Rattus norvegicus: one gene and its partners. Each later gene encodes a partner of the first gene's protein in a complex. Links are inferred from orthologs where the notes say so. Each region holds a gene or a part of one and is shown in the gene's direction. Other genes may lie near its edges.

Region 1 (4,279 bases):
TTTTAATACATAACTTTTCAACATATCATGAAATATTTAATAACATATTTACCAATAGATTACACACTTATAAAATATGTACAATATTGACATCTCACATTGATAATGGATTAGAGAAAATATCAACATCTTGATTACTTAAATGTTTATGGTTAAATTGTATACTATTGAATTCTGTTTTTCCTTCTATGTGAAAAGTAGTCATATTTTTCCTTAGAGATGGTCTCGTATATCCTATGTACCAATTCACTCCGTACCATGATGATCTTGAGCTCCTGTCTCCACTTCTAGAATGCTAGTAGGTTGATGTGGTGTTGGGTTGGAACCCATGGTTTCCTGTATGGTAGACGAGCACTGTAATTTGAGCTGCATTCCCAGCTCACTTCTCCATATTCAACAGATTTGTATATCATTAAATCTTTATTCAGATTTCCTCTGGGGAGATATTCTGCACATATAAAAATAGATTTCTTTTTATAAGAAAAAAACATTAAAATTCAAACTGGAACTCAATATTTATTATGTGCCTTATTTTCATAATTATTCTAAAATCATACTTGTGAGAAACTTTGCTAACTATAATCTTCTGGTGCTTGATGAAAGGTTATTACCTGAAAATGACTCTACAAAGAGGCAGACATTATGTAAATTGTTGTGGATCATAAAAATAAATGTCTTTTCTTAGAAAATAAACATAATCTATGTTTATGGAGGGCTAAGAATCTTTCTTCCAATGACTATTTTTTACCATTCTATATACTCAATTCCCCTTATAAAGCAAAGAAATGCAAACGCCTCTGAGGCTACGTTTTGCCATTATTGATTTACAATTAGAGCTGAGGAGGCAGTACTTTAACAAGGAAAAACACTTAAAAACTTAAAAAGGTCTTTATTAGTCTACAGTTCGCAAACATATTCCTTATTCCTTTGCCATTTGCCTGTTCTTTGCTCATTTGCACATTTGTTTTTTAAAGGTTCAATACTGTTGTTATAGTACTTTTATGATCTTTTTCTACTTTAAACTTCAAGAATAACTTATTACTTCGTGACCACAGTTAGAAGGAACACAGGTGGGAAGGCCAGAGCAGCAGCTAGCACAAAGGAAAACTGCAATTTTGCAAAGCAGTCTGTGGGGAGAGCAGATTCCAGACTTCCTGGCTCTGCCTTCCTTGGGCCTAATTCCTGCGATCCATACTAGGGTCTTTGCCTTAGGGTTTGGGATCGCTGCCGCAAGCCACGCCCACAGTCCAGACCCCGCCCTACAGCTCTTGGCCTGGTGCTACCACCGCAGGCCCCGCCCCGTAGCTCCTGGTCCCGCCCTATGAATTTAGGCCCCGCCCTCGACCTGGGCCCTGCTTTACCACTCTAGGCCCTGCCCCACTGACTCAGGCCCCGTCCCGTCGCCCCACTGTCAAGGCCCCGCCCCTCTGCCTTGGCCCCGCCCCGCCTGACCGCCATATTGGTCCTTCTGCCCAAGTCGCTCCCTGCTGGAAGTGCTCTCGACATTCCCGACTCTCTGGCCCTCTTTCTGCCCTGGTTGTACCCAGGTGTGTTGGCGAATAGCTCCCAGGACGTCCTGTGTGTGTCTGCAAGGTGAGTGGGGGTCATCATCCGATTTGAGATCCGGCCAGAGCTGGTTAAGAGCGCGTGCAGCCGGAGCTGAGCAGCCGGAGCTGAGGCCGCCAGGGCGAGGGTTGAGCCAAATTGGCGCGGGTCTATAGACGGCTGGGCAACGGGGGCAGCTTGTCCCCTACTCTCCAGATGACCCACATTCAATCACATGGGAAGAGGAGCACACACCCAATCACTCGGGACATATACGCGCGCGCGTACACACACACACACACACACACACACACACAGAGAGACAGAGAGACAGAGACAGAGAGACAGAGAGAGAGAGACAGAGAGACAGAGACAGAGAGACAGACAGATCAGATCCTTAAAACATCTCAGGAAAGAGATGTTTTCCAAACAGTTGGGAATAGGATGGTGGAACGATGCTCTCAGGGACAATGCAAATACCTGGGTATAAGCATATACACCAATCTTTCCCCTAACCACACGGGGACACTCACGCGCTCGAGACCAAACCTTGCCCCTGTGTGACTAATGCTGGGGAAGGCAAGCTTGTGTTATTTGAGTTTGGCGACCTCTGACATGTTACCCTTTGACCCACTCAGGTGAGGGAGCTAGGAAGTTAAAGCCAGGGCAAAGAACGTGTAGGCGGTTGGGTTGGGAACATTGTCAGATTCAGATCTTGCCTGAGGTTTCAGAATCGCGTTTCTTCCATCCCTCCGTCTTAGTGAAAAGACTAGACGAGACTTTTAAATGCTGACTAAATGATTGGTGAACGTATTATGGTTGTGTTTTGTTTCTTAAGTGATGACACATCCCATGATCATACTTCTTTTGAGGAATAACTTTTCTGCAAGTTTCCGAATTGGCACGTGACCAGGCTTTTCACAGCGTCCTCATAAAATCAACAGACTGAATTTGGTTTTTGTTTTGTTTTGTTGGTACAAGTTTTCCCTTTTTCCTCGCTAGCTCTACTGCAATGGAAAATCCCTGCACTGCCTGAAATCTCAACTAGAATTGAAGGAAACCCGGGACTATCTACGAACTATTTCCCTTTTCTTTTCTTTTTCTTCCATTGCTGGAGACCAAACCTAGGGCCTTGTGCTTGCTAAGAAAGAGCTGTACCCCTGTGCGAAATTCGCAACTCCTCCCTCAGCTAAGGGACTTAAGTGCCCTGCTTTTACTTTGTCTTTTATAATCTTAGTTAGAAGTTACCACTTCTTGTGTAGCGCTCCAAGTAACAACATATACCAGCTTTGTATTTAAGTGGCCGTGTCTTCTTGCTTTGGGGATTCTTCATGTGCATTGTAGTGTTTCGCTGTACTGAAAGATTTATGGTTTTGGAGGCTTACTTACTTAGAACATTGGAGGAATTGAAGGATATTTATGTTTTATTTTCTGGAAGGTTAAAGTAGACAAGCAAAAACCAGACCGTCCATTGTTGGAGAGCAGGAAAAGACATTGGCGGTCGTCTCTTTTCCAGCCTCATCCTTTTACATGTTCCCCATTCAACTACTTCCATTTTATATTCTAGTACTCTGGAGGCCTCAAGTTCTCTTAGTTCTAGCAATTTCTAACCTCCCTCATTCTTTTATTTTTTAACCATTTATTGGGAAGACCTACTCCGGCTCACATGAGCTGGTTCTGTTTGAGTCAGTACGCTCAGTGCATCCTTTGCATTTTCCTGGTGTTTCCAAAGCAATGCGTCTGTTACAGTTGAGAAATTTGCTGGTACCCGGGAAGGTTAGATTTCGTTGCCAAGGTCACCTAGGGAGTGAGGGAACAATGTTGAAATTCAAATATGTTTGTGGGTTTTTTGAAGTAGTAGTTCTGCACTGTGGGAGGCAATTTTATCCTCTCAGGGGATATTTGAAAAAAAAATGGAGAAAAGCATTTTTTTGGTTCATATTCCAGGCCATTCTATAGTTCTTTAAGCACAGTGTCTTACTGTTTAAGATAGCATTTTTATTATTTTAAAAGCTTGCTGGGGAATACAGCAAATACAGAGGCGAATGCCAGCAGCAAACCACTGAACTGAGAATAGGACCCCCGTTGAAGGAATCAGAGAAAGAACTGGAAGAGCTTGAAGGGGCTCGAGACCCCATATGTACAACAATGCCAAGCAACCAGAGCTTCCAGGGACTAAGCCACTACCTAAAGACTATACATGGACTGACCCTGGACTCTGACCTCATAGGTAGCAATGCATATCCTAGTAAGAGCACCAGTGGAAGGGGAAGCCCTGGGTCCTGCTAAGACTGAACCCCCAGTGAACTAGTCTATGGGGGGGAGGGCGGCAATGGGGGGAGGGTGTGGAGGGGAACACCCATAAAGAAGGGGAGGGGGAGGGATTAGGGGGATGTTGGCCCGGAAACCGGGAAAGGGAATAACATTCGAAATGTAAATAAGAAATACTCAAGTTAATAAAAAAAAAAAAGCGTGCTGGGGCTAAATTCTATAAGGTTTATGAATACCTGGTAATGGAATCTCTTTTTTAAAGCTGGCCTCAGTATTGCTGTTATGTACTGGCCCGCATTGAATTCCTGATTCTACTGCCTCAACTTCTTAAGTTCTGGGATTACAGGAATGTGCACCTACACACAGTTTCAGAATTTTTAGACAAAAATGACAAAACCTTTTGAGCTACTAGGCACCTCTGCAGTTGACTTAGGAAATGTGTTTTTCCCTTATTATCATCCAC
Region 2 (4,233 bases), on another chromosome or scaffold:
ATATACCAAGCTAGCTGGCTCATGAGCTTCTGAGGATCCTGTCTGTCTCTTATCTTGCTGAGAGAACACTGGAATTACAAACATGTGCTACCACATCTGACTTTACCTCAGTGCTGGGGCTCTGAACTCAGCTTGTCACACTTGTTTAGCAAGCGCTTTACCCAGTTACCTGTCTCCTCAGCTCAGGAAGCCCCTTTCTAAAACTCCTCTGGCAGCAGTACTAGCTATGTTTACTAAACTGGGAACTGTATCCAGTACCAGCAGGGAGTGGATTCTCTGCTATAAGCTTCAATTGAGTATAGCTTCTCTGGTGATGATTTTGACAGGATCCCATCTCTCTAGGTTCATTTGCAACCTTTTCCTATTGGATCCTTTCTCAGACAGGCTGTTCCTTGTGAGTTTCTATCTGTAGCTATGCAGAAGGCCTCGATCTAAACATTCAGGGTCAGAGGATCACCTAGCCCTGGTTTATTGTACGTAAATTTATTGCATGGGCTCAGTTTGGGCTTGGTTCAGCTCCTGAGCTGGTGTTTCAGTGTAAGTTAGACCCATTGCTGAGCCATTCATAGATGTAGAGGCATGTTTAGGCTTGGTCTTTCCCAGATGCTGTCCCGGCTCCCTGAACCACACAGAATGAGAATGGAGCATTGGGGTACTATTACAAGAAGATGGCAGAATCAGTGAGCAATGGGGGGAGGGGTGCTTATAGATCATTCACTTTCTGTCACTTCAACTATGGGTATGATGACAAAAGTGACATGTTTTCTCTGAACTGGGAGAGAGTAGGTCTCTTGTTTGTAGCTTGTATGCCAAGCTAGCTGGCTCATGCAGCTTCTGAGAATTCTGTCTCTGTCTCTTGTAATGAGAGCCAAGCAGTAGTGTTGGTTTTGTCTTGAAGAGTGATATTTGTGTGTGTGTGTGTGTGTGTGTGTGTGTGTGTGTGTGTGTGTGTGCGCGCGTGTGTGTGTGTAGAGTCCTGTCCCTGTGCTCACCTAGGTCTGTGCAGTCCTACATAGAACTTCCTTCCATTTCCTTTCCTTCTGCCACAAGAGGAGCAGGGGTTTTGAAGATACCTTGTTTTGATCTACGGGCCAGATGTTAAATGTTTGTGCAGAGATAAACGTAAGCCTTGGGCTGTAACTGAAGATAGACTACTTTTTATTTGGATTTAGTTTTGATTTGAGAGGACGAATTTTTTTTTTCCTAATTTGATCTAGCATGAAGTTCAGTCTTTTAGTGTTGCTTTTTGTTATGTTTTGCTGCTTGTCTTTAATTAAAGACCAGCTGCTACCCAGAAAAGCTGCTAATTTCAAACTTTACTCCTAGACATCATGCCACAGGAAGAGTGAGCTCTTGCCCATTTTACCATGGAGGACTCAGGAAAGACTTTTGGATCAGAGGAGGAAGAAACAAACTATTGGAGAGACCTGGCCATGACCTACAAGCAGAGGTCAGTCCTGCAGCTTCCCTCCCTATTCTCCCTGGGAGGGTGGTGGGCACCATGTCTTATCTTGAGATGAAGAAACTAGGATCACCTTTCTCTACAGAGGCCCCCCGAGCAATTGAGAGCTCAGACAGCCTGCCCATGGAGCAGCTGTGAGAGGGAGAGTTGGAATTTGAACTACAAACTGAGTCACCTAATCATTCTAACATATCATTGTATGTTCTGGGTGGGTCTTTATATCAGGTCTTCTATGGAGAAGATTTGCCTGTGCCTATCAAAATAGGCTGCTGCTGAAGAGATGCCTCAAGGTTAAGAACACTTGTTTTTGTAGAGGATCCAGGGTCAGTTCCCAGAAGCCACATGGTAACTTACAGCCAACCTTAACTTTAGGTCCAGAAGGTCTGATGCCTTCTTCTGACCTGCTTGGGCATCAGGCTTGCATTTGGTCCACATACATGCATGTAGGCAGAACACTTGTACACAGAAAATAAAATTGAAAAAAGTTAGCCTCTTGAAGATTTTGAACTTGAAAACTGGTGTTTCAGTGCACGCATCTAATAGTAGAGAGGGAGAGATGGATCCAGCACTGTGTAATTCAGGCTGATCTTGAATTTGATCTTGAATTCTTGAGCCTCCTGCCTCAGACTCCTGAATGCTAAGATTATAGCTGTGTACTTCAATGCCAGTTCTTATAAACTGTCATCTTTTCCATAAAATGGGAATAATGGTAGCTGAATAAAGTCATGATCCACACACCAATACCAGCATCATTAATTCTGTGATAAATGTATTTGTAATACTGCTACAGGGCAGAGAATACTCAGGAGGAACTCCGAGAATTCCAGGAAGGAAGCCGGGAATATGAAGCTGAATTGGAGACTCAGCTGCAGCAAGCTGAAACCAGAAACCGGGACCTATTATCAGAGAATAACCGCCTTCGAATGGAGCTGGAGTCTGTGAAGGTGAGGGGCCCCAGGGGACATGTGTACAGAAAGGAATGGCTTGTGGCATTCCTTGCATGGCTGGAGAAGCAAGGAAGTGGCTGCACCAGGCCCACTACTTTCTGTCCTCCCTGTGTCTGGTTATTGTATCTTTTCTTCCCCAGTAGGTGGAAATCTGTGATGAGCAAGCCATATACATGGCCTACAGCCCTTCTTGGTGGTGTCTGTACTGGTTTCACAAGGGACATGGCAAGGAGAGTTCTTCAGAGACTGCAGTGTCAGAATTGTAGCTCTTTGAGACTGAGTCAGATAGTCCAGGCTCACTGTGACCAGCCCTGAATTTACTATGTAGCTGAGGGTGGCCTTGAACTCATTGCATTCACTTCCTAAGTGCTGGGATTAAGGGTAATCACCATCCTGCCTGGCTCTAGAATGTCTCCTACTTGTATATTACAAGGTACAGTATGGCATCTCTTAGCTGAATATGGCTATTGAAATGAAAGCTAATGAGGAAAACAATTAATTCTATTAACATTACCACAGTTCAAGTGCTCTGTAGCCACATATAACTCATGGGTTTCACTTCTGGGTACAGGGACTACAGAATATCCTCTTCTAGAACAGTCTGTTGGACCATGCCAGTCATAAGCAGGTTTATTAACTGGGCACTACAATAGTCCTACTCAGACTCCTTGGCTTTATTTTCCATGGTTTGGGTTACCAGTAATCAAACAAAATCCAAAAAATATTAAATGGGAAATTCCAGAAATAAACAAGTTATACATTTTAAATAAGTTTTATTATGGTATAATATAATTATTCCATTTTGTAATTATTACTAATTTCTTAGTTTGTAAACTAAGTATTATAATGTAAGACAGCAAACATGGGAATAACAAAACATGTATAGGGTTTGGTGGTCTCTGAAGTTTTGGGGGGATGTAGCATAATGTCTTAGAATGTGTCCTCTCAGGTAAAAATGAAGCTGGGGCCTGGGTGAGTGCATGTGGCTATGAATACCTTGAATGATTCATTTGAAGGTTCATGGGCTCTGCAAGGACCAGGTGAGAGTGGACAGGATGGTGGTAGCAGGTAGTGAGAGGATTAGCAGGCACATGGTTGGGAAAGTTGGGGCATACATTCTTTGAATGACTGTCACTTAATCATTCACAGCATCTTCCATTGTCCTGGCTAGTTTTTTGTCACGCTGAAGTCATCTGAAAGGAGGGAACCTCAGTTGAGAAAATGTCTCCACTATAGGGCATTTTCTTAATTAGTGGTTATGGGGGAGGGCCTAGCCCATTGTACATGGGGCCATTCATGGGCTGGTGGTCTTGAGTTCTATAAGAAGGAAGGCTGATCAAGTCACGAGGAGCATGCCAGTAAATAACACCCCTCCATGGCCTCTGCATCAGCTCCTGCATCTAGGCTCCTGTATTGTTTGAGTTCCTGTCCTGACATCCTTTGATGAACCATGATATGGAAATATAAGCCAAATAAACCCTTTCCTCCAAGTTGCTTTGGTCATGGTGTTTCATCACAGTAATAATAACCCTAACTAGGATAACAACTGCTTCTCTTCTGAAATTTTAGGTCTATGGAGAGAAGGTTCTGTTAACTGAGCTCAGGGGAGGCTAGGAGAGGAGGCCTGAAGCTGCCTGTTGAGGCTGTGCCTCAGGTGGGAACTGAGAATGCTTGCACAAAAGCCCCAACACTACATAAACTGGACATGGTAGCTCATGACTATCCATGGAAGGTGGACAGGACAGGCAGTTCAAGAGTATCCTTTGCTTCTTGGGTACATAGTTTGTTTGAGGCTGGTTTGGCACACATGAAATAGTATCTCAA
Region 3 (3,647 bases), on another chromosome or scaffold:
TGTATCCCAACCCAGAAGCCCCTTGTGTGACTTTCTCTCTTTTCTCGTTCCTGTCTGAATCAGTCCTCCCAGAGCTGCAGCTCAGGCCGCCAGAACCTCCGACTGCAGAGCGATTCCAGCAGCAGCACACAGGTGACTTTCAGAGGCTCCGCCCCCACCCATGCCCAGCCCCGCCCACAAGCCCGCCTCCCACACCCGCTGCTGCATCCATGCAAGCCCCACCCTCCCATCTTCGGTGGTAGGGTTTGGATGTCCATCATTCAACAGCTGCTATGCTGGATGCGTTCCACTTTCTCTGGCTAATATTGGGAGTATTACAAGCAGTTGCTGCCTCCTTGAAACCCACAGCAGTGGGATGCAGACCCTGTGGACCTGAGCATCCCGGGATCCAAGTCCGGGGTAAAATGACAAGGGTATGCATAGAATGTGCTGCATTCGTCAGGTCACCTCTAGGCCACTCACAAGAGCAGTGCAGTGCAAACAACATGGAAATAACCATCGGGCTGTGTCACTAGGAATGAAGGGCGCACGCCCCAGTCGGGTCTACACAGGTGCAGTGGTTTGTGGGTATTTTCACTCAGCATTGGTTGAATCTTAGTTGGACCTAGGGCCTATGAACTCAGAGGCTGACCAGGAGTCTGCTCCTCTATAAAATAGTAAACCACACTTTGCTTCTGCCTCCTTCCTCTCTGTCCTCCCTTGAAACAACTGTACTATGATCACAAGTCCACGGTGTGGCCTTCCAGAACCTTCTGGATGCCTTTACATACACGGAAATATATAATGTATAGAAAGACTTGGTGTCTCACTTAGGGTTTCACCAAGGCAAGTCTTATAGAGGCAAACGTTTGATTTGGGATGGCTTAGAATTTCAGATGCTAAGTCCATTATTATCATAGCAAGAAGCATGCCAGCAGACATGGTGCTAGAGGAGCCTAGAGTTCTGCATCTTGAAGGCAGAAAGGAAGGTCTCTCTTCTGCAGGTAGCTAGGAGGAGGGTCTTCTGCACTGGTTGGAGCTTGAACATAGGAGCCTCAGAAGCCCACCCCACAGTGACACACTTCCTCAGACAAGCCCACACCTATTTAACAAGGACACATCTCCTAATAGTGTAAGTCCTTGAGGACCGAGCATTCGAGCACATGAGTCTGGGAAAAGAGGGGCAAAACTATTCAAGCCACTACACTTGGTAGTTCTTAAGATCCCACATAAATGCTAGCAGACGTGTTGTATTGTGCAATAGCTTTTGGATGTCACTCCACCTGGAGCCTCAGTAAACAAAAGGAAAAGCACAACTGGAGTGATGGCTCAGTGGTGAAGGGCACAAACTGCTATGGCAGAGGACCCAGATTTAGTTCTCAGCACCTCCATGAGGTGCCTCACAACCAGGTGTGACTCCAGGAGATCTGGTGCCCTCTCCTGGATTGCAAGGCCACCGGCACTCATGTGCACACACAGAGACACACACAAATACATACATACATACATACATACATACATACATACATACGTTCCCAGCACCTACGTGGGGTGCCTCACAACCAGGTGTAACCCCAGGACATCTGGCGCCCTCTTCTCGACTCCAAAGGCATCTGTACTCATGTGTGCACACACCCAGACATCTACACACATAAATAAACAAATAATAAAATAACTTTTAAAATGAAAAGTATAAAAATGTGTATAAAATATTACCTTCTGGGTAGAATAATTTGTGTGTGTGTGTGTGTGTGTGTGTGTGTGTGTGTGTGTGTGTGTGTACACCAAGCTTATGCACATGACAAGGTCCCATCCCTGCTCATGAAGGAGCAGAAGTAGACCCAGTGAACTGAGAAACAGTGTGAGGCTTTGCCCTGGTCTTTACTGTGAACTTGAGGGCTAATGGCTGAAGGGCATAGAAACACAAGTAAGTCTAGGTGTTAGAGGTTTGTATCCTGCGAAGCCACACCCCTCTCCCAAACTTGTTTCCCTAGTCGCCCTCCTCAGAGCCAGCTTCAGCCAGTTGAATTGCCAATGAGACCTCAGCACTTGGAACACACCGCCTTTGTGCTGACTGCGTGCTATTCCACCCCATCCATCCTCAAGTAGTCCCTGTTGTTGGATATTAAGTTGCTGCTGTAAGCTGTGCTGCCATGCCCGTCCTGACTCGCACGTCCGTGTGTCCCTTTCCTCAGGTATTTGAGTCAGTGGATGAGGTGGAACAGACAGAGGCAGAAGGCAGGTCAGAAGAAAAACACCCCAAGATCCCCAATGGGAACCCAGCAAACGGCACTTGCTCCCCAGACTCCGGACACCCTTCCTCCCACAACTTCTCCTCCGGCCTCTCAGAGCACTCAGAGCCCAGTCTTAGCACCGAAGACAGTGTCTTGGATGTCCAGCGCAGCCTCCCCGCTGTGTTTCGGCCTGGGGACAGCAGTGTGGAAGACGGACAGAGCAGCGAGGCCACCACTTCCCGGGACGAGGCCCCCCGGGAGGAGCTGGCAGTACAAGACAGTCTTGAGAGTGACCTCCTTGCCAACGAGAGCTTGGAGGAGTTCATGTCCATCCCTGGCAGCCTGGACGTGGCCCTGCCCGAGAAGGATGGCGCCATGATGGACGGCTGGCCTGGCGAGGCAGACAAGCACGGTCGGGCTGACAGCGAGGACAACCTCTCAGAGGAGCCAGAGATGGAGAGTCTGTTCCCTGCCCTGGCTTCTCTGGCTGTGACCTCCTCTGCCAACAACGAGACGTCCCCTGTGTCCTCCAGTGGCGTCACCTACTCTGTAAGTCACCAGGAGTCTTTATTGGACGAGGGTAAGGCTGGCCGCAGGCTTCAACTCCCTCATGTCTCGCTCTCTCCATCTTGGGGGCTCACAGGAAGGGCTTGCTGGGCTGGGTCCCCTGGTATTGCCGTAAAATTAAAATAAGGGTTCTTTTATCCCGCACTAGATCCGGCACCACAGCGCCCCAGGACATCTGTTAGATGTCTTCATCTCAGTCAGCCAAGCGTCTCACCCGCTCTGCTCCATCCCATATCGCACTCTCTGAGCCTGGCAACAATCTCTCTACCCATCCAGTTCCCAAGGCAGGTTGCCGCCATGCCAGAAATATATCCCAATTCCATGGCGGCCCAGTGTCTCCAGCCACCACACACTCTCTGGAATTCAATTAAATCGCCACATGAAAGAACACACAACACAGTAACCTCTGATCCAACTGATAAGATATAATTGCCCACCTAGACATACAAAGCCCTGTACACATCCATCCCTTAAGAACATTCATAACAAACTACAAAGGTACAGAGTAGAATCTTTTTTTTTAAAAGATTTATTTATTCATTTATTATATATAAGTACACTGTAGCTGTCTTCAGATACACCAGAAGAGGGCATCAGATCTCTTTACAGATGGTTGTGAGCCACCATGTAGTTGCTGGGAACCGAACTCAGGACCTCTGGAAGAGCAATCGGGTGCTCTTAACCGCTGAGCCATCTCTCCAGCCCCAGAGTAGAATCTTAACATCCGCCTCCATGTTCTTTTGGCTGCTTCTTCCTCTCCTCTATCTCCAGTCTTCTCCTCCTCTCTAAAACTTTTCTCCCGCCCATCCTTCCTTCTCGTCCAATGACAGGCCTTGTTCTATCTTGTACCTGCCTTCACCTGCATAA

The links.
Region 2: the proteins of Rab9a (region 1) and Nde1 are in contact, whole or in part, in a crystal structure (PDB 7E1T), measured with the Homo sapiens proteins. The link is inferred for Rattus norvegicus from reciprocal best matches to the Homo sapiens genes RAB9A and NDE1. Residues at the interface, in NP_001182257.1 of Homo sapiens: Ile40, Val42, Phe44, Asn46, Gln59, Trp61, Arg68, Phe69, Ser71, Leu72, Pro75, Phe76; in NP_001137451.1 of Homo sapiens: Asp99, Gln102, Thr103, Ala105, Ile106, Gln109, Leu110, Tyr113.
Region 3: the proteins of Rab9a (region 1) and Sgsm1 are in contact, whole or in part, in a crystal structure (PDB 4QXA), measured with the Mus musculus proteins. The link is inferred for Rattus norvegicus from reciprocal best matches to the Homo sapiens genes RAB9A and SGSM1. Residues at the interface, in NP_062747.1 of Mus musculus: Phe37, Thr39, Ile40, Gly41, Val42, Glu43, Phe44, Leu45, Trp61, Arg68, Phe69, Leu72, Phe76; in NP_766306.2 of Mus musculus: Leu256, Leu257, Tyr258, Gly259, Lys260, Asn261, Asn262, Tyr277, Asn294, Met297, Asn298, Gln361.

The regions. Positions count from the first base shown.
Region 1 is NC_086039.1:31,608,624-31,612,902, forward strand, and holds the start of Rab9a (ras-related protein Rab-9A), read left to right. Parts: upstream 1-1,465; 5' UTR 1,466-1,593; intron 1,594-4,279. UniProt on the Homo sapiens protein: The small GTPases Rab are key regulators of intracellular membrane trafficking, from the formation of transport vesicles to their fusion with membranes.
Region 2 is NC_086028.1:1,380,570-1,384,802, reverse strand, and holds the start of Nde1 (nuclear distribution protein nudE homolog 1), read left to right. Parts: upstream 1-1,367; coding exon 1,368-1,450; intron 1,451-2,252; coding exon 2,253-2,406; intron 2,407-4,233. UniProt on the Homo sapiens protein: Required for centrosome duplication and formation and function of the mitotic spindle. Essential for the development of the cerebral cortex.
Region 3 is NC_086030.1:49,023,090-49,026,736, forward strand, and holds part of Sgsm1 (small G protein signaling modulator 1), read left to right. Parts: intron 1-63; coding exon 64-132; intron 133-2,174; coding exon 2,175-2,762; intron 2,763-3,647. UniProt on the Homo sapiens protein: Interacts with numerous Rab family members, functioning as Rab effector for some, and as GTPase activator for others. Promotes GTP hydrolysis by RAB34 and RAB36.